Linked DNA regions of Ovis aries. The protein of the gene in region 4 purifies or fractionates together with the protein of the main gene of each other region. This does not show direct contact. Links are inferred from orthologs where the notes say so. Each region holds a gene or a part of one and is shown on either strand. Other genes may lie near its edges. The genes, in order: RPA1, PPP1CA, PPP1CB, PPP1R12A and PPP1CC.

Evidence for each region.
Region 1: the proteins of PPP1R12A (region 4) and RPA1 fractionate together in Homo sapiens (co-fractionation; 3 studies listed by BioGRID, with this or other methods). This does not show direct contact. The link is inferred for Ovis aries from reciprocal best matches to the Homo sapiens genes PPP1R12A and RPA1.
Region 2: the proteins of PPP1R12A (region 4) and PPP1CA purify together in Homo sapiens (affinity purification with mass spectrometry; 3 studies listed by BioGRID and IntAct, with this or other methods). This does not show direct contact. The link is inferred for Ovis aries from reciprocal best matches to the Homo sapiens genes PPP1R12A and PPP1CA.
Region 3: the proteins of PPP1R12A (region 4) and PPP1CB purify together in Homo sapiens (affinity purification with mass spectrometry; 6 studies listed by BioGRID and IntAct, with this or other methods). This does not show direct contact. The link is inferred for Ovis aries from reciprocal best matches to the Homo sapiens genes PPP1R12A and PPP1CB.
Region 5: the proteins of PPP1R12A (region 4) and PPP1CC purify together in Homo sapiens (affinity purification with western blotting; 3 studies listed by BioGRID, with this or other methods). This does not show direct contact. The link is inferred for Ovis aries from reciprocal best matches to the Homo sapiens genes PPP1R12A and PPP1CC.

The regions. Positions count from the first base shown.
Region 1 is NC_056064.1:22,789,262-22,793,518, reverse strand, and holds the start of RPA1 (replication protein A 70 kDa DNA-binding subunit), read right to left. Parts: upstream 2,806-4,257; coding exon 2,773-2,805; intron 1-2,772. Other genes in the region: SMYD4 (SET and MYND domain-containing protein 4), read left to right, coding at 4,123-4,256. UniProt on the Homo sapiens protein: As part of the heterotrimeric replication protein A complex (RPA/RP-A), binds and stabilizes single-stranded DNA intermediates that form during DNA replication or upon DNA stress.
Region 2 is NC_056074.1:41,699,852-41,703,858, forward strand, and holds the start of PPP1CA (serine/threonine-protein phosphatase PP1-alpha catalytic subunit), read right to left. Parts: upstream 2,804-4,007; 5' UTR 2,754-2,803; coding exon 2,699-2,753; intron 2,169-2,698; coding exon 2,037-2,168; intron 1,892-2,036; coding exon 1,661-1,891; intron 1,029-1,660; coding exon 924-1,028; intron 337-923; coding exon 113-336; intron 32-112; coding exon 1-31. Other genes in the region: TBC1D10C (carabin), read left to right, coding at 3,975-4,007. UniProt on the Homo sapiens protein: Protein phosphatase that associates with over 200 regulatory proteins to form highly specific holoenzymes which dephosphorylate hundreds of biological targets.
Region 3 is NC_056056.1:35,718,980-35,721,595, reverse strand, and holds part of PPP1CB (serine/threonine-protein phosphatase PP1-beta catalytic subunit), read right to left. Parts: intron 982-2,616; coding exon 877-981; 3' UTR 1-876. UniProt on the Homo sapiens protein: Protein phosphatase that associates with over 200 regulatory proteins to form highly specific holoenzymes which dephosphorylate hundreds of biological targets.
Region 4 is NC_056056.1:115,834,161-115,837,675, forward strand, and holds part of PPP1R12A (protein phosphatase 1 regulatory subunit 12A), read right to left. Parts: coding exon 3,342-3,515; intron 3,101-3,341; coding exon 2,932-3,100; intron 1,172-2,931; coding exon 1,050-1,171; intron 1-1,049. UniProt on the Homo sapiens protein: Key regulator of protein phosphatase 1C (PPP1C). Mediates binding to myosin. As part of the PPP1C complex, involved in dephosphorylation of PLK1. Capable of inhibiting HIF1AN-dependent suppression of HIF1A activity.
Region 5 is NC_056070.1:54,611,181-54,615,310, forward strand, and holds the start of PPP1CC (serine/threonine-protein phosphatase PP1-gamma catalytic subunit), read right to left. Parts: upstream 2,814-4,130; 5' UTR 2,618-2,813; coding exon 2,563-2,617; intron 1-2,562. UniProt on the Homo sapiens protein: Protein phosphatase that associates with over 200 regulatory proteins to form highly specific holoenzymes which dephosphorylate hundreds of biological targets.

The DNA.
Region 1 (4,257 bases), on a different chromosome or scaffold from region 4:
AGTACCAGGCTCGATGTAATATACAATAGGATTAATATAATTAACGATGCTAAATATGAAAGTTGTTCAGAGAGTAAGTCCTAAGAGCCCTCATGGCAAGGAAAAAAATACTATTTTTCCTTTTGCATGTGTGTGTGGTGACAGGTGTTCACTAAACTGATTGTGGTAACAGTTTCACGATGTGAGTCAGATCATTATGCCGTACACTTTAAACGTACACAGTGCGGTATCAATTACATCTCCATAAAACTGTAAGGAAAAAAAATACAAAGCAACAGAAGGTAATGCTCAAAAGTATGTGTTCAAATCCTCAGCTCGTGCACAAACTAATTCTCTGTATTTTAATTTCTTCGTCTGTAAGATGGGGTTAATGATAAAAATCTACCTTACAGGGTTACTGTAAGTACTGACTATAATGAAATATCTGGCACATTGGAAATGATAAAAAATATTAGTTCCCTTCCCCTCTCTTTGTATTACCTAATTACTTAAGACAGAAATACTATTTGTTCTATTTACCACAATAGTTCCATGAATAATCTCTTATGTTAGCTCTTGCTGAAAATGTCCCTACTATTTGTGTGCGTTAGTTGCTTGCCCTTTGTGGGGGGGGGGGTCTATGTCTTTTGAACTAAAATATTACTTGCTTTAGATGAGAAATTTGACAATGGTTCTCTACCAAAACACACACATAAATTTTCATTGTCATTTATGAACAAGATCTAAGTAATACTACAATTTTGAATGTGACAAAAACTCAGCAAATTATTTAAATAATACCTTAGTCACTGTTTTAATTTAAAAGTAAAGAACTCCTAATTTGTCTTAAAGATGCAAGGTTGCAGCTATAAAGGAGACAAGGACTACAGTTTGCAATCACTTCTAAAGGTTAATTATTTTTAATGTATTAAAATATTCACTCCGCTTTGCCAAAAAAAATAAAAAATAAAATAAAATATTCACTCCGCTTTGCCAACTGTGCCTCTCCATCCAGCTCTGTCCCTTTCTTTTCACTGCCTCACACGCAAGTAGTAAACATTTATTGGGCACCTAATACCTGCTAGCACTGCTCCAGGAATCGGGGAGACTGTGTTGGGCAAAAAAAAAAATCAGACAAGATTTCAGGCTTCAGAGCATTTACAATCCAGTCGGGGGGGTGAGAGAAAGGAACTGACATTAATGAAATGAACAATATTTAATGTAAAATCATATCTGCAACTGTTAATAACAGGTAACAAGTAATGCACATATATTATGTATCAGACATGGACTAAGCACTTTAAATTAATAGCTCATTTAATCCCTCCACTAATCACAGGCAACAGGTACTAGGTATGATTAGCCTGTGACAGAAGAGGAAAGACAAAGTTTAATATCTTGCCTGAAATCACAGATAATAGGTGAACAAGCAGGAATTAGGGTCGGAAAATAAAAGGACTTAAGCCTAGCAAACTGAGTCAAGGAAGAGTTCTTTGAGGAAGTAACTGAGTGGAGACTTGAAGATTATGTTAGTCAACAGGAGAAGAATGAAGAACACCCCGTTGTTAATTGGCTACACTCCAATACAAAATAAAAAATTTAATGACAATAATTTTTTTAAAAAAGCACCACCCAGGCAGTAGGCACAGGTTAAAGAATGTTCAAAGCCCCTGCGGAAGGCAGGAGTATGAAATATACCAGGAATTTACAATTTACATTTTAAAAAGCTGAAAAAAAGGAAAGAACAGGTAGGAATATGCCGTGTTGGGAATGGCAGGAGGAAGATTATGCTGGGTTAAAGGAAGAAGGCCAGGCACAAACAATGGTGCCTGGAGAGAAGTAGCTGGATTTAAGAGACATGGGTGAAGGCATAACAGACCAAACTTACGTAGGGTGACAGCCAGGGTGAGAGTTTAAAGGAAGAATGATTCCACAATTTCTAGCTGGCATAACTTAATGAATAATGGTGCCATGCATCCAGACAGGTGACAGCAGAGGCCCAAATTTAGGAAGATATTAGATTTTCTTTGGAACATGTTGAATTTAAAATGTCTTTGAGATTATCAAGTACACAGATGACAGAGGTTTGTCTTTCAGAGTAAAGCTGGCCCTGCACAAAAAAAAACTTGTGAGCAACTGACACAGAGACGGTAATTTTATTGTTTTGGGAGAAGAGGGCCTAGGGTTGAGCCTTGAGTCAACAAAAATTTACAGAAGGATCTGAAAATAAGACGGGGAAAGACAAGCCAAGCTGAAAATAAGACGGATTTTCTCCCGTCTTAGAAGAGGATGCTACCGGAAGAAAGCTTTGCCCGATAGTCAAACGCTGCTGAGAACTGACAGATTTAGATCTCCAAAGTGTCTGCTGGACTTAACAACCCCAGGAGGCACTGCTGACTTCAGCCAGGGTTACAGCGATCAGGGAGGAGAGTGACTAATTCGAGTCGGTTAAAGGGGAATGCGAGGCGAGGAAAAGAACTGAAAACTAACAACTCTTGCAAAAAGTTTCGCTGCGGATGGGGGAAGGGAAGAAGAAAGAGTGGCTGCAGGAGAGAGATGGGGGAAGATCAATCGTTTACTTTGTTTCAATTCCTGAAGCAGGAAAAACATGAGCATGTTGAAAAAGATGACGATAAAAATGCGTTAACTGATGATTCTAGGGAGTCATCCAGGGGTTCCTACCCAACCCCCGCTATCACTCCGGCTCCTGTGTTCTCTCCCCCTCCTCCACCCGCACGGCCCCAGGGCCCACAGCCGCCCCGGACCGCGCCCAGCTCGCAGGCGTCGCCTCACCGCAATGGCCCCCTCGCTCAGGTGGCCCACCATGGTTCCGCTGCAACAACTCCCGCGCTCCGGCTCCCCCAACACAAGCCTGGCTTTACTCCCGGGGACCCGCGCGCTCCAAGGCGATTGGCCGGAGGAGCTGCGTGAACCGCCCCCGCCTCCCGACGTGCGCACGGCACGCGGCAGTCTCAGGGCCAAGCAGCCGCCGCATTGGCTGAGGCGCGGCACGCGGCTCACGTGACCCACCGGAGTCCGGGTCCCGAGCCTTGTTGCGGGATGGCGGGGGCCTAGGGGCGGGGCGCCGAGCGCTGGGGCGCGCGAACCGTGACGCGGGCGCCGCCAAGGGCGCAGGGCGGAGGGGTTCCGGGAGCTTTCCCCGCGGGCTCTAGGAAACGTACCGCGCTCGGCCTTCGGCGGGCAGCCATAGACTGCTAGCCCAGAGGAGTGTTCGAGGGGTTCCCTGATAATTCTGCTACTGAAAGTAGTCGAAGCAGTGACTCGCTTCTTTCAGCAACACCGAGCTGAGCTCCCGCAGGTGCCAGACCCTGAACTGGGCACAGTGGGGGGGGTCTCTCAAGGTAAATAAGACCTGGTCCCTACTCCCAGAGGGGAGCACAGTATGTCGAGGGAGTTTCTGCTGTGAGTAGCCTTAACTCAGTGTAGACGTGGTTTGGGTCCCAGGAGAGACGCAAAGTGTGCGCCTGTCGTCACAGGTGCCAAAATCAGGGAAGGCTTCTCGGAGTAGGAACCATTTGAACTGAGTCTTGAAGGATGTGTGCAAATTCGGATAGTAGGGTATAGAGGAAAAAGCGAGACTTGATCAGAAAGTAGGTCAGGGGTCAAATGATAAAGGGTTTGTACTGGGCTTCCCCAAGTTCTAGGAGGAGCATCAGTGAATTTAAGGCAGAGAATTGACATCGGTCTCAGTATGGAGGATGGACTAAATTGGGAAGGGGGAACAGGGAGGGATAGTCTGAGGGCCTGAAGACTAATTATGACACTCGAGAAAGAATGCCAGACAGGAAATGGTGAGGGCTTGAACTAAAGAAGGGACCTCGGGATTGAAAAGAAAAAACTGAACTATGTAAGAAATCTGATTCATCATTGTATAACCGTTCCCTAGTACGATGCCAGGAACAAAGTCAGTTTTCAGTAAATAATTTCTGAATGAAGGGATGTGAATTGGTGCGGGAGAGGATACATCCTTCCCTGGCATGTAAACAACTGTAGGAAGAGACTACAAGATCTGATTTTGTGGCCTCGTGGTGCATGCTTGAATGAAATCGATTTTCTGGAATTATGCATTTGTAGAAAACTGAATTCCTTGTTTTCTTATTCATTTTTTAGGTCTGAAGTAGCATGGATCTGCCCGTGGATGAGTGGAAATCCTACGTACTTCAGAAGTGGTCTTTGCTCCCCAAGTCCATTCAGGTCACCATTTCTACAGCAGAGACTTTGAATGATCTCTTTCTTCACTCATCTGCACTTCTTCAG
Region 2 (4,007 bases), on a different chromosome or scaffold from region 4:
TGGCAAAGAACTCGTAGCCGTCTTCTACTACCTGGACGAGGGTGGAGGCGGTTAGTTCAGCAGGAGCTGGCTGCCAGCCCTGCTCTAACCCAGATGGGGGCTGCCAGCCCACCTGGTGTGCCCGGCAGATGAGGTCCAGGTCATGCTTGTGCAGGAACTTGGCCACCACCTCAGCTCCAAAGGTAAAGGAGACGCCGCGGTCATTCTCGCCCCAGCCCTGCACGTCCTTGTCAGGGTCAGACCACAGCAGGTCACAGAGCAGGCCCTGGTCAGGCACATCTGTGGGCCGCATGATGCGCCGGATCTGCTCCATGGACTGTAGGTCTGGGGACAGGCCTGGAGGGCACAGGGGGCAGGTCACCTCCTCCAGGCAGCCTTTGCCAATCAGCCTCTGCCCCCCACCTCTCCAGGATTCCTGGGAGCCTACAAAGGCAGAACTCATCACCTTCTGCCTCTTCCAAGTCCCTGTCCCTTCAAGGAGCACAGAGCTCCCTGGAGAAAGTGTTTTCGCTCAGTCGTGTCCGACTCTTTGCAACCCCATGGACTGTCCAGGCAAGAAAGCTGGAGCGAGTAGCCATTCCTTTCTTCAGGGGATCGTCCCAACCCAGGGATCAAACCTGGGTCTCCCGCATTGCAGGCAGATTCTTTACCATCTGAGCCACTAGGGAAGCCCTGGAGAAAGGGGACAAGCAAACTCCATGCAAGAAGGCGAGGCCATGACACAACAGTGGGTGCAGCCTAATGCTGCAGTGCGGGGGCACGTCATGGAAGAAGTACTACCCATACCAGGACTCCAGGGAGAGCTGTTCCTGGCGACTGGGAACACATCTTCCAGCCGACGCTTCTGTCCCAAGGTCCCCAGGGGTGCTCACCCTGGGAGGCTCATCCTGCTCAAGAATTCACATGCCCAGAGCTGTGCTCACCTCCATGGCAACAGAAGATCTTCTCGTCCACGATGGCAGCGATGGGCAGGCAGTTGAAGCAATCAGTGAAGGTCTTCCACAGTTTGATGTTGTAGCGTCTCTTGCCTGCCCAGGGGGAAGGAGACAGCTCACCAGAGGGCCTCTGCTCCACCCTCAGCCCAGGTCTCCAGGCCTTCCAGGACACATTGTGTGTTGTTCAGACACAGCTAGGAGGAGAGAATGGAAGGCAAAAAAGGAAACCGAACCCCCGCCCCCTACCCCTACTACCCCACTGCCTCCCAGACAGAATTCTAAAGCAGCCAAGTCCACGGGAACCCCAGAGTTCCACTTCTGGCACGACCTCAAGGTTGGCATCCACCCCCAGCACAAGAGCAGGGCCAGGTCGAGACAGGGTCTGGTTCATCTTGGCTTCTGTCTAACAGAGTCCAGTCCCAACAGGCATCCTAAGTGCTTAAGTATCGGATGCGCTGGAGGGGAGTGTCAGCAGGTGAGGCCCTGCCTTAGAATCCTGGCAGCCCTTCAGCCAGCAGCCACTGGCTAGGTCCCTCCTGAGTGCCAGGATCTGCTCTAGGAGGGTCGGGGAGGGTGGCATGGGCTGGTGCTACCTTCACGGCACTCAGCTTAGCAGGTGTTTGTCAGACGCTGACACCCCAGCCACCAGGTCAACACGAGGGTCGCACTGAATGGCAAGGAGAGCCCTTTAGGACCAGGGCAGCCCAGATGCTCTGCCCACTCACACTCATCATAGAAGCCGTAGATGCGGTTGATACTGGCACACTCGTGGTTCCCACGGAGCAGGAAGAAGTTCTCCGGGTACTTGATCTTATAGGCCAGCAGCAGGCAGATGGTCTCCAAAGACTGCTTGCCCCTGTCCACGTAGTCCCCCAGGAACAGGTAGTTACTTTCTGGAGGGAAGCCGCCGTACTCAAACAGCCGCAGAAGGTCATAGTACTGGCCGTGAATGTCACCTGTGACCCAGGGAACCAGGTCAGCACTAGGGCAGCCTAAACGTGAACCCAGGGTCAGGGTTGGGCCCAAGGGAGGAGAAACTTGGGAGGGGTGGGGGGCAAGGCCGCTTTCAGGAGGCCACGGGGACCTGGGCTGGGGGCTCACCGCAGATCTTGAGGGGTGCCTCCAGCTCCAGAAGAATGGGCTGGCTCAGGAAAATCTCCCGGGATTTGAGGCACAGACCACGGATCTCGTTCTCCGTCAGCTGTACATTCTTTCCAGGCCTGGAGCCCTGCACTGGGGGCGGAAAGAGGCGTCAGGACCCTGGTTCCTCAGGCAAGAAGAGGGTGAATGTCACTGGTGGCCCCAAAGGCACTTCTGGGTAGGGGCTCCTGGGCCTCCCGGCCCCGCCTTGCCCAGGGGCAGCTGTTGCTGCTGAGCCTCCTGGGACCCCCAACTGCCCTCAAGGCGCTCGCGAGGGGACTGCTGTGCGCAGAGGCCATCCAAAACCTCAGCACAGGACCCCTTCCTGGGGGACTAGGCTTCTCAGGTTTCTCCCTCAGCCAAGAGCCCAGGCCAATCCTTGCGCGCCCACCCCCGCCACCGCCAACCCCGGTTCTGCTCTGGCAAGGGGAGCAACCCCAGACCTCCCAGCGCGCCACGACTGGGGTGGGGTGGGGGCACGATGTGGCCACGGGACCTCGCGGCCCGTCCCCGCCCAGTCAAAGCTGGCCCTGGGAGGGGCAGGTCCACCCGCGCGCCACTTCCGGGCCGGGCAGGGGACCAGGGCGCGGCGGGCGCCCACCTCCCTCGCCTCCCCGGCCAACCTTCCAGCAGGCGTCCGATTATAGAGTCCAGGTTGAGCTTCTCGCTGTCGGACATGGCGGCGCCGCCGCTCTGGCCCAGCACCTCCGGGCCCTATCCTGCCTCCCGCCCTCCCGCGGCCTCCTTCCGGCCTGGTGCTCCTTCCGCCCGCCCGGGCCCGCCCCGGCCCGCCGCCCCGCCTCCTCTGCCGGCAGCCCCGCCCCGCCGCACCCGGCCCCGCCCCGGCCCGCCCGGTCGCCCGCCGCCCCTGCGCTCTAGCGCCTCCACTGGACGCCAGGCCCGGGGCCCGCGGCGGCTCGGGAGGCGGGGCTCGGGCTGACCTGGTTGCGGGGGCGGAGCCTACACTGGGGGCGGGGCTTCACGGGGCGAGGTCGACTCTAGTTCCGCCCTTGAGGAGTTACCCACCCTTGCACCGAGGATGTGCGGCCGGAAGTAGTGTGGAGTTGTTTTTCTCTTTCAAGGGCCCAATAGTCCTTCCCATTTCTGTCCCGGGCTAGAAGGTGGTGTGACCTCATTGATATCTCATTGGGTCTCCCCAGAGAGTGCAGATTAAATCCACGAAGTGCAGGAAAGGAAACAGGTTCAAAGATAGCAAGGGTTGGCTTCAGACTGACGGAGGAGCTCTCACCTCTAGGGTCCCTGTGGCCTGCGGGCGGCTGACCATACCCAGACACCTGTCGCTGAACGCCGAGCTCATTTTGGTCCCCCTGCCCGTGGCGCATGCTACACCATTACTACTATTTTTTAATGTCTCGTCGTTGTGTTTTGAGTAGCGCAGTAATGACTTACTGTTTGACTTGTCGAAAGCGTTAACAAAAGAAGTCACGTTAAATAAAGTGTAATACTCACTGGAACCCTGAATTGAGTGTTTTATTTGCCTGTGACCTCACATCTGGAGGCAGCGTGGCCTCTCTACCTCTGGCAGGCCCTGGCTGCATCACACCCAGCACAAGAACCCAGGCCTGCACCCACCTAGCCCACCGGGGTGGTGGGAGGAGCCCATGGCCCAGGGCTACTGGGGCAGGCCGGAAGAGCCCTGGAGAGGAAGGGGTAACCCCCCCCACCACGCACTTGGGAGGGGCCCTCAGCGGGTTGCTGAAGCTGTGGCTGAGGAGGAAGTGAGAGGAGGAGGTGAGGTGCAGCAGGGAGGTAAGCTGGGCCCCTTGGGACAGGGGCTGGGCCTGGGTCTCCGGTAGGGGGCCTGGCCTTTCTGCCCCTCTGGGCCTGTGCCCCACCCCCACCCCACAAGAGGAGAGGGTACCAGAGGGGTATGGTGCGATGCCCTGCAACCTGTCCTCTTTGACCAGGCGG
Region 3 (2,616 bases), about 80 Mb from region 4:
GGGTGTTACCAGAAAGTTAAGCATGCCAAAAAGGTGTTTCGTGCGAATTAAAACCTAAAGCCAAGGTACCACATAATCACATTACCAACTAGTTGGGTATACTAAATGAGCCTTATCTTAAATGAAATGCTACTGCACAATAGAGCATCAATAAGTTAAAATTAGAGTGCACAAACTCAAATCAGTGGCCATTTCTGTATGAAGCAAAATATTCACTATCAGCTGTAACAGTTGCCCAAACTGATTAAATCACTCGATTGGACAGTTTGCATATTTTAAAAAATATCTCTAAATTCCTTTTTACTGTAATGAGGCATAAGTTTTCTTAGTAAGATCAAACAGGTACATAAGTAAATAAGCAATGGAAAATTAATAGTTGATGAATGTCTTCAAAAATCTTCCCACATTGCACTTTTTTAAATGTTTGGGGAAAAAATTTAAAGAATTTGCCATTATTTCAGCAAAAACAAACAAACAGAAACAAAACAAGCCCAAAATAATTAAACAACCAAGCAACACTAAAACCACATTACACAGATGGATCATCATGCTTTCGTCTGGTTTAACTATCACATCTAGTTTAACTGGGATGCTTTTCAGCTTTAAAAACTGTGGTACGTGAAGATGTAACTTTAATGGGTAATTCTGAATTTGGATTTAACTTTGTTGAATATTATAACAGAGTATACTTATTACAATACAGTGTAGCACATCTTTCTATTAGAAAAAAATTTAAGATCCTTTACCCGTCTCCTTAAGTTAAAGGTGTGACATCATAAAGGGTGTCAAATGGCTGGATGGTTTTACAGTGCACACTTAAAGATTATGAAGTATGTCCTTAACAAATCGGATGGTTTCTTTACAGAGTTCCTTTCTTCACCTTTTCTTCGGTGGATTAGCTGTTCGAGGTGGAGTGACAGGACGTCCTGAATTCAGTCCACCATATTGGTACTTAGCTTTCTTTTCAGACGGTTTCAATATCTTAAAGTAAATAATTTAATAACAATGTTACCTTTTTCAAGTACAATAAGTTTAAGGAAATTATTGTTACATAGTAGGCTTCTCAATAAATGACATCAATTGTAAAATTGTAGGAAAAAATAGCAAAGTTCTACAGTCATTTCTCACATTTAAAAAGTATCAAAAAATAAATAAAAAGTACAAATGTCTGAATATCACTATTATTGGTCATTCCATTGACAATTTAGTGACAAAAGCTCAAGTACACAAAACCCATCAACTATTCAATTCTTAGATCTAAGTATAAAAATTTTCAAACTAGTGTATCTCTGTGATGAGAAAAAAGCACTAAGAGTCAAAAGATCCAGGTTCTCATCATAATTCTCCTATTTATTTAGAGGGTAATTAGTCACAAATTCTTCAATCTTCATTTACTATGTGTATACAGATCTTTCACTTAGCTATATATATTATGTATCATAAAGGTCACCATTTAAACTGTAGAAAGACAACACTTTTTAACATATTTACAACTATGAAACCACTGGTATAATCTAACATTAGAACATGTTTGTCACTCCAGGAAGAAACCTTGTTCCCAAAAGCACTCACTCACTCTATTTCCATTATTGACTGCCCTAACCCCCTTCAACTCTAAGCAATCACTACTTTACTTTCCTCTATTGAACTGTCTTTTCTGGCTATTTTAAATAAATGAAACCAGACAATTTGTGCTATTGTGACTGGCTTCTTTCACTGAGATAATGATTTTGATGTAGCATGTATGAGTACTTTATTACTTTTAATTGCCAAACAATATGCCACATTTTGGATACTCCACATTTTGTTTATTCATTCTTTAGCTGATGAACATTTGGGTTGTTTCTACCTTTGGGTATTATAAATAATGTTCCTATTAATATGTATATATACATGTATTTGAGTACTATTTTCAGTTCTTTCAGGTATATACCTAGGAGTGGAAATGCTGGGTCATATAGAAACTTTATATTTAACTTTTTCAGGAACTGACAAACTATTTTCCAAAGTGGCTGCACCATTTTCCATTCCCACTATCAATATATAAGGTTCCAACTTCTCCACATCCCCAGCAACACTTTGGTTATATCAAAAAAAAAAAAAAAACAAAAAAAAACCAAAAACCAAAAAAAACACACCAACAAAAATACAAACTATTTGTTGAAGGATATGGCCTGGTTACTACATTTAAATCTGAACGAGAAATCAAACATTTAGCATTCAATTGTATTAGCTGATAGTAATGGAAACCTCTGTTACATTTTTTAAGAGAAATACAGGGTGTCAAGGACAAAAAAATAAAGTTATTTTAGTCCATGAACAAGAATGATTAAGTAGCATGCTAAAGCTGGTCTCTTTCTTAAATGTAAATGTTTCTATATTCACAAACAGATACTTTAAGATTATTTGGAAGGTTTTTCTAGGCAAATATTCTACATCATTTTCATCAGAGTTCATAAACTCTACTCAACGCCTGTCCCATCCATTCATCTTGCAAAAGAAAACAAAATCTAAATTCACATTCTTTTAGTAGCAAAGCCACTACCTAAGGATTCATACACCAATTTCCAATTTAAACACATGCCACCAAGAATGACTGACATGACTTAGATTTCC
Region 4 (3,515 bases):
CCCCAGACTCCTTCATTGCAGGCAGATGCTTTAACCTCTGAGCCACCAGGGAAGCCTAATTGGTAAAGAATCTGTCTGCAATGAAGGAGACTGGGGTTCAATCCCTGGGTTGGGAGGATCCCCTGGAGAAGGAAATGGCAACCCACCCCAGTATTCCTGCCTGGAGAATCCCATGAACAGAGGAGCCTGGCAGGCCACAGTCCATGGAGTCACAAGAGTTGGACACAACTTAGCGACTAAACCACCACCACAGGCCTACGTAAATGGACAGATGATATGCCCAAGAGGGCAGGTGGACAATTAGGTCCCTCCAGGCAATATGGGTCAGGAGGACATTAAAACTGACTGTCTATTCAATATTAAGGATTTATTGTCAATTTATTTAAAATAAACATGATCATGGTATTATGATCACTCATTAAAAGATAATATTTATGGTTACTTTTAAAAAATAAAAATTTAATATTTTAAAAAGGAGTCCTTATCTCTTGAAAATTCATACTGAAATTTTTACATATATAGTATTACTAAAATTTTCTTCAAATATAAATAATTGGGAGTTGGGAAAGTGGTAGAGATTTAACTTAAGAATGAATATCTGGGGTGGGATGATATACTTCATGTTTAAACGTTTCTACAAAAAAACAATCCCCGAAAACTAAATCAATTTTGCCTTTCTGAGGTACATGTTGTATCGAAATAGGATAAATTTCACATTAACTGTGTTATCCCATAGTTCTTCTTTCTCCTGCAAATGAAAAGCAACGTCAGGCAAATAGAGATGATGAAGAAAAAATTAAAACTTATAAGATTGCAGCCATTATTTTTTTATTCCAATACTGAGACAGTACTCTTGCTTATAAGTAATGTCAGAAATCTGAGTAGTTGTTTATTCTTAAAAAGAAAAACTCTTTTCATTTAAATAACTAGCTCAAACACATAGTGGTGACCCGAAGAATACATAATCTGAGGCATATAAGAAATCATTATTGTACATTCCTAGAAAGATAAAGCATATATCAAGTAGGTATATTTTAATAGGTTCTCACATCTTGTGTCCAAAACGAAACTCCTGTAGATCTTCTCTTCTCTCTTGGTCGCCTTCGTTCTCTGATTGATTTAGGTTGTGATTTATCTTCCCCCTCTTTTTCTTCTTCTTTCTTTTCTCCCTCTGTTAAGGATTAAAATCAATCATATGGCAGCAATGCATCTTGAAAGTATTTGCAAAGTAAATATGAAAACAATTCTAAGTCAACCTCTGTGAAAGTTTCTAAAGTTCTCTAATCAGAAATAATTTTTGCCCCCTCAGTGCTCCTGTAACACCTGGTTTAAACATGTCTGTGTCTCCCACTGGACACACTCTTGAAAATCAAGAATTTTAATTACTTCATTTTTCTAGTGCTTAAAACAAACATTTTGCTTAAAAGACACATTTAATAATATTTACTGAAGAGAAAATAAATGAATCCTATGAAGAGAATGGGGCCCTAGTTATTAGTGTCTGCCAGGAAAACAGTTCTCATGCCCAAACAGTCTGTAACAATGGAGCGGCTAGTAGGCACACACACCTATCAGTTTCCACTTCTGCCATTCCCAGTCCTCATGCAGCGGCAGAATCAATGCACCAGTCACTGAATTTTCTTTTAGTATCTCAGAGCAAACCTTTCTCCCCCCTTGGGAAAAAATTATCTTTTATTAAAAACAAATCAATGTAAAGTCTTCAAATTTGTTCCCTTCCTGGGATAGTTAAAATATCCTGAGACTTACATACTAGAAGAATATTAGAACCTCTGAATATGCTTTAAAAAGCAGACATATGGAGCAAAGTAATGCTAAAAAAAAGGCTCCTGTGTCATTAGAAGGCTCCTTGTCTCCTTCTGTGAAGAAAAAGCAGCAAAAGAAACTCCAAAATTCTAGTATTAAGAGCGGTTTAATGTTTTTTAGAATTAGTTTAGTGCAAAGGCCTCAAACTCCAAAATCAACAGTGGTCATCCAGGTCATATAAGAGTTGGCAGGGCAGGGGCGGGAGGCGTGCTGCTATTTTTCAGCTCTAATCAATTGTTGATGTGAGAATTCAGATCCAGTGTTGCCATATCTTCCAACTTTTCAAAAGAAGACAGAAACTTGAACTTTTATGCAAATATCCCTAATTTAAATGTTGGCTCAAAATTTTTATAATCATTATACAGGCCCCACACTCAAGAGGTTTAAAGAACTGAAATATTTAATGACCAACAAAAGAAGAGCCAGCCTGCAGTTGAAAAAAATTTAATTTTCTGAAGCTTACTCCTATAGGACTACTGATATTATCATGATTAATACTACTTGACTTTCCTTTTAAAATATAAAATACCTACAGTTGGAATACATTTAGCACCCATTTCTTAAAGTAGGAGTTAATTAGAGTTTATATACGAAGTTTATATGCAATAAAAGGAAATGCTAATAGCATCAACATGCCAATATACAGCTGAAAAAGAAACCTATTTTTCAAGAAATAAGCATAGAAATAATTTTTTTGGCAAGGACTTTATATATATATGTTAAATCATTTTTGTTTAAAACAATTTCACAACAAACAGTTAAAAGATGTGACCTACATAATATGCAAGAAATGACTTGAAACATTAATAAACTGTTCTTAGAAATAATCACCCCACTAGTTTTTCTATACCAACTTTTCTATGTTGATCTACATAAAGATTTTTTAAGTCTTCGGCAATAAAGATACACGTATCAATGATAGATCACACAATTTTCTGTTTTTATTTTCTACTTTTCTCATTCTCAACCATCATATTCTTTCTGGTTAGGTAGAATGAGTCCCAGTTTAGGATGTTGGTTCTTTTCTGTTAAACTATATTAATTAGGAAAGACCAACTCAAAGAATTATCTGAAGGAAACAAAGTACTTTCAAATTTTCGTTCTTACCTCTTTCATTTTCCTTTGTTAATCCTCTGGAGTAAGCAGAAGTTATACCTACAAGACTGTTTGGCCTGTTTAACTGACTTGAAGCATAAAGTGAACTGCTCATTGTGGAAAGTAAAGAGGAGGGAGTGGTTGAACTTGAAGTTGATACTGGTCTGTAGCGTTGATAAGTCTGTGAAATGTAAGAATTAACACCCATTTGAAATATTAAACACAGATAAAAACATAAAATATTTAAGTTCATTTTAAAGAAAAAGTAATGTTCTACTCATGTCAAGATAATTAAGACTTCCAGTTAAAATCCTTATGAGCAATTTGCATGTGGTTTGTTAATAAATAAACCTCTTGCATTTTGAGAATCACAAGAACTACCCACGCCATAGGACCTAGTTGTGTTGCTGGTATACTATTACCTCATCATATGTTCTGGAGTACTTTTGTTTATATTCATCTTCTCTAGATGTTTCTGATTCCTTCTTTTCTTCCTGCTTTTCTTTATCCTGTTTCTCTTTTTCCTCTTTTTCTTCATTTTCTTGTTCTCTGGTTCGGGTGGAACGACTCCTCCCTATTGTTTTTTCAGCTTCCTG
Region 5 (4,130 bases), on a different chromosome or scaffold from region 4:
GAAAATCTGAAAGTTTAGAGTAGCAAATAACTGCAAAGCTGTAGTGACTAAAACCTAAAGCAAGACGTTTCATTAGATAAGACTTCACTTTTGAATGGTCTTTTTAGTACTATCACTGAGCTACTTCTCAACTAGCTTGTATAGTCCTCCACCTTAGACAATTCTGAAAATGTAAAAAATTCTAAAAAGGTCATAAAACTCACATTCCCTCCATCTTCAGATATACTTAAATCTTAATGAAAATTTTTAGAGGAAAAACTTTGTGAGGCATTAAAAAAAAAAAAATCACAAAACTTATCAACATCTTCTACCCTGGAAAGATATACATATATATCTTCAATAGATCATTTTCAATAGTTTCTCTGCCAATCTAACATTGACGAGAAAAAAAAAAAAAAAACAAACGTTAAGAATGTTGAGCAGCTAGTTTATTCCCGAGGACTGAAAATGCACTGCTGTACTAATTTCAATGAAAAAAAATGAAATGTTAAAAAAACCTGGTTTTCCAGCACAACATAACATGTATAGAAACTATTAAGAAATAATGACTGATCTCACTGTAAATGATCCAGGTTAATCAACGCAAATTCCTTAGCACAATTTAAAAAATAAGATTAAAATTAACAAGATGTTATATGAATATAAAAGTTATGGGCAACCCCACAATTAAGACCTAACTAATCTTAAAATTCTGTTTCTAATCCACAGCTTCCATTTTTTCCAGCTTTCTCAAAGAAATAAAGCCACACATGTCCCTGCATAGACATGCAGAATTTACAATTTTTGAATGAAAAAAATTTAAGTTCTTTTCCTACAGCAAATTGTTTTAATCCGTTTCTGACCCACTGCTGTCTCACATAAACCAAAGAACTATATCAACTAATATTAAAAGTGTGATTCCTCTAATAAACGGCAGATACTGAATGAACAAGGTTTTCACCCACAAATGGCAGTGACATTTCAGGGGCTCATTTAACGAGTTTTTGTTTTGAGACACTATAAAAGGAAAAAAACCTTAACAGAGATTAAGAAAAGATGAAGTTTCATTCTCATGACTTAAAAGATCTGTAAATTCTAACATCAGAGCTGTCCAACTGTTTAGGCTCGACTCCATCTCTGAGCATTTACAGTCCAACAATATTTTAGAATATAAAGGCAAAAATGCAGTTAAAACTCAGCCAAATCTACATTATCCAACACTCAAGAAAAGGATCTGAATTCTTTCAAAGTTAGGAATTAGACGTTATTATTAATAGATGTGCTCTAGAATTCAGGGGTGGTGGGTGATTTTATTTCAGTGTCTCTCCTTAAAATCCGAACTTCATCCCTCTCCCATCCCACATCAATAGAAATCAATCGCAAGACACCTCAGGAGTTTTAGGTCAGTCAAAACTGAAGATTTATTTTAACCTTTGCTCAACCACTGGACACCTTCCTTCACACATAGGGTGACTTGAATGACGTTGAATTCCTGGCTGCCTGGGTTTGAAACTTGACTGTCACTAACTGGTTAAGTGACTACACTTCTCTGGGTCTTAGTCAGGAAAAAAAGGCATCTACCTGGTGTATTACATGAAATCTGTGTAAGGAGCTCCAAAAAATGCCTTACACACAGTAAGCGCTTTAGAAGCATGGCTAATATGATTTTTGCGACACACGCAAAGTACTGGAGACAACTCATTAGAAAAGACCCTGATGCTGGGAAAGACTGAAAGCAGGAGAAGCGGACGAGATGGTTGGGTTGGATGGTATCACCGACTCAACGGACATGAGTTTAAGCAAGCTCCGGGAGATGGTGAAGGACAGGGAAACCTGGCACGCTGAAGTCCATAGGATCGAAAAGTCGGATGCGACTAAAAGACAGCAAAATGCAGTCAGTGAACGCAAAGCGCTTAACAGAGCTTGGCACATTGGAAAGATCCTAACGAAACTGTCATCACTGCCGGTTTCACGATTCAGAGGCAGGTTCAGAAAAGAGCGCGGAGACTTCCCCGGGATAAAGACAACTTAAAAAGAATATCTGGGAGGGTAGAAGAAGACAGGTTCCAACATCTCTCTGAGAATGAACGTTCGTTACCGAGTAACAAGTAACTGGGCCCCCGACCCCAAGCCTCACAAAAAAATAAAAATAAGCAGGCTAGGAAAGAAGCCCTCAAGCTTGGTGAAATCCATATCCGCATCTTATTGCTTTCCAAAAGATTGAGAACCACGAAGTTCGGAAAGAGCAGTCCAGTAGGTTGGACTGGGGCCCCCAATATTCTCCAAAGATTGGTCCGGAGTGCCGGGCGCACGGGGGTACGTACCGGAAACGTGGGGGTGGGGAGCGGAGTTTTCAAATTTCACGGCCAGGAGAAAGGCTGCACCCTCAAGCAATGAATGAGCGGAGCCAGGAGGGTCCGCAGGTTGGGCCAAGCGCGGAACGCCGGGCAACCTCCCTCCCGCGGCAGTCCCCGGCCCGCGGGCGAACTCGCGGGGCTCACTCGTCTCGGCGCAGCAAGCCCAACAGGCCTCCCAAATCCCCCTCCCCCGCGAGTCTCCGGAGCCGCCCGCCGCCCCCTTCACCTTCCAGCAGCCGTTGGATGATGCTGTCGATGTTGAGTTTATCTATATCCGCCATCGCCTTCCCACCGCCGACCTTCCCGCAGCGGCGCCGCCGCCGGCTCGCGCCCGGGATTCACACCTCCTTTCCCACGCCACGGGCACAGAGATGGTGGTGGTGGCGGCGGTGGCAGAAGCCGCGGTGGGTTCCCCCCAACCGCCCCGCTCCCTGCTTCCTCCTTCTCTCCCCACTGGAACCACGAGAAGAACAAAATGGCCGCCGACTCCTTAGCCAGCCTCGGGCGGCGCACGAATGCGCGCGGGGGAGTGCAGCGGTCCGGCCGGGACTTCTTTGTGGGCCATAGGGCACCCGGGAGGGGGCGGGGCCAGGGAGATTGAAGGAGGCGGGGCCAGAACGCGGGAATGGGAAGGAGACGGTTGAGCGTAAATGCGCTCGCGCGCGGAATCCTTCCGCCAAACGGGCCGAGCAAATAGGCCCCCTGGCGGGAGCGTGAGTTGCAAAGTTGAACGCGGGAGTTGGGGATGGGGGAGAAGATGCATCTGTGCACTCGAGGGTTGCGGGCTCCGCAGGACACTGTTCACTGCGGCCAAGTGTTTGCAGACCTGGCCATGTGAAAAGCCCACGGAGGGAATTTGGGTGTCCTGGAATTTCCCCTTAAGATAAATCTGTGGTAGAGGTGAACAGTGAAATAGGTTGACTCTTTTTGGCTTCAAATTTGCTAGAATTTAGGGGGGAGGGAAAGATACATTTGATGGTTAATTTAAAAAGTCCTCTCCCAGATAAATAAAAATGTTAGGTTATTCTTTCTGAGTGGTGGAAATATGGGTATTTGTATGCACATTTTTGTGCACTCTGTAACTTACATTTGGGGAAAAAAATTCTTTTTAATCTACCCTCAAAAAAATTTCATCATCTCTCTCTGGATTATCTTTCTTGAACTCGCGAAGTTATATAATCATCGGAACGGTTTACCCTGATTCCGGCCAGAGCGAAGATGAGCGAGCGTGTGCAGCAGATAAAGGAGAATTTGCAGGTTTGCGGTCGGGTCCCCACTTCTGCAGATACCCCTGAAAACTTTGGTCAATTTCCATCGGCTTCTCAGTCTCCACATATAATCTCTCTCCAGGAGATCCCTCCAAAATGTGCCACCTCCGGGGGCTGCGTGTCGTCTTAGCTGGGTTTGAAAGTGCAGTTACACTCAGCAAACGCATCTGCTCTTTTGGATCCTGACCTTTTCATTTAACTGCTTTTTTCCTGCAGCGCTTTACAGTTTGCAAAGCCGTTTCCCTCCCGCCAGAGAAATTAATTTTGTCTCTCAAGGCACACAAAATGCACGAATTCCCAGCCCGAAATATCGAGATCATTGTGCCACCCGGGCATCCAGTCTCAAAACCGGTGTTCCCCCCGGGGCCCAAAAGTGGTGGGGCCCAGGCTCCTTCCACATGGACCCGAGGCCTCCCTGCGGCTGGCTTGGAGGCGTTAAGGTTCAGAGATCCCACCTGCTTGGCGCAGTTGCTCACTCAGCTTTCCCCAGTCACCAACTTACCCTCCCGTGCTGTAACTCTGTTCG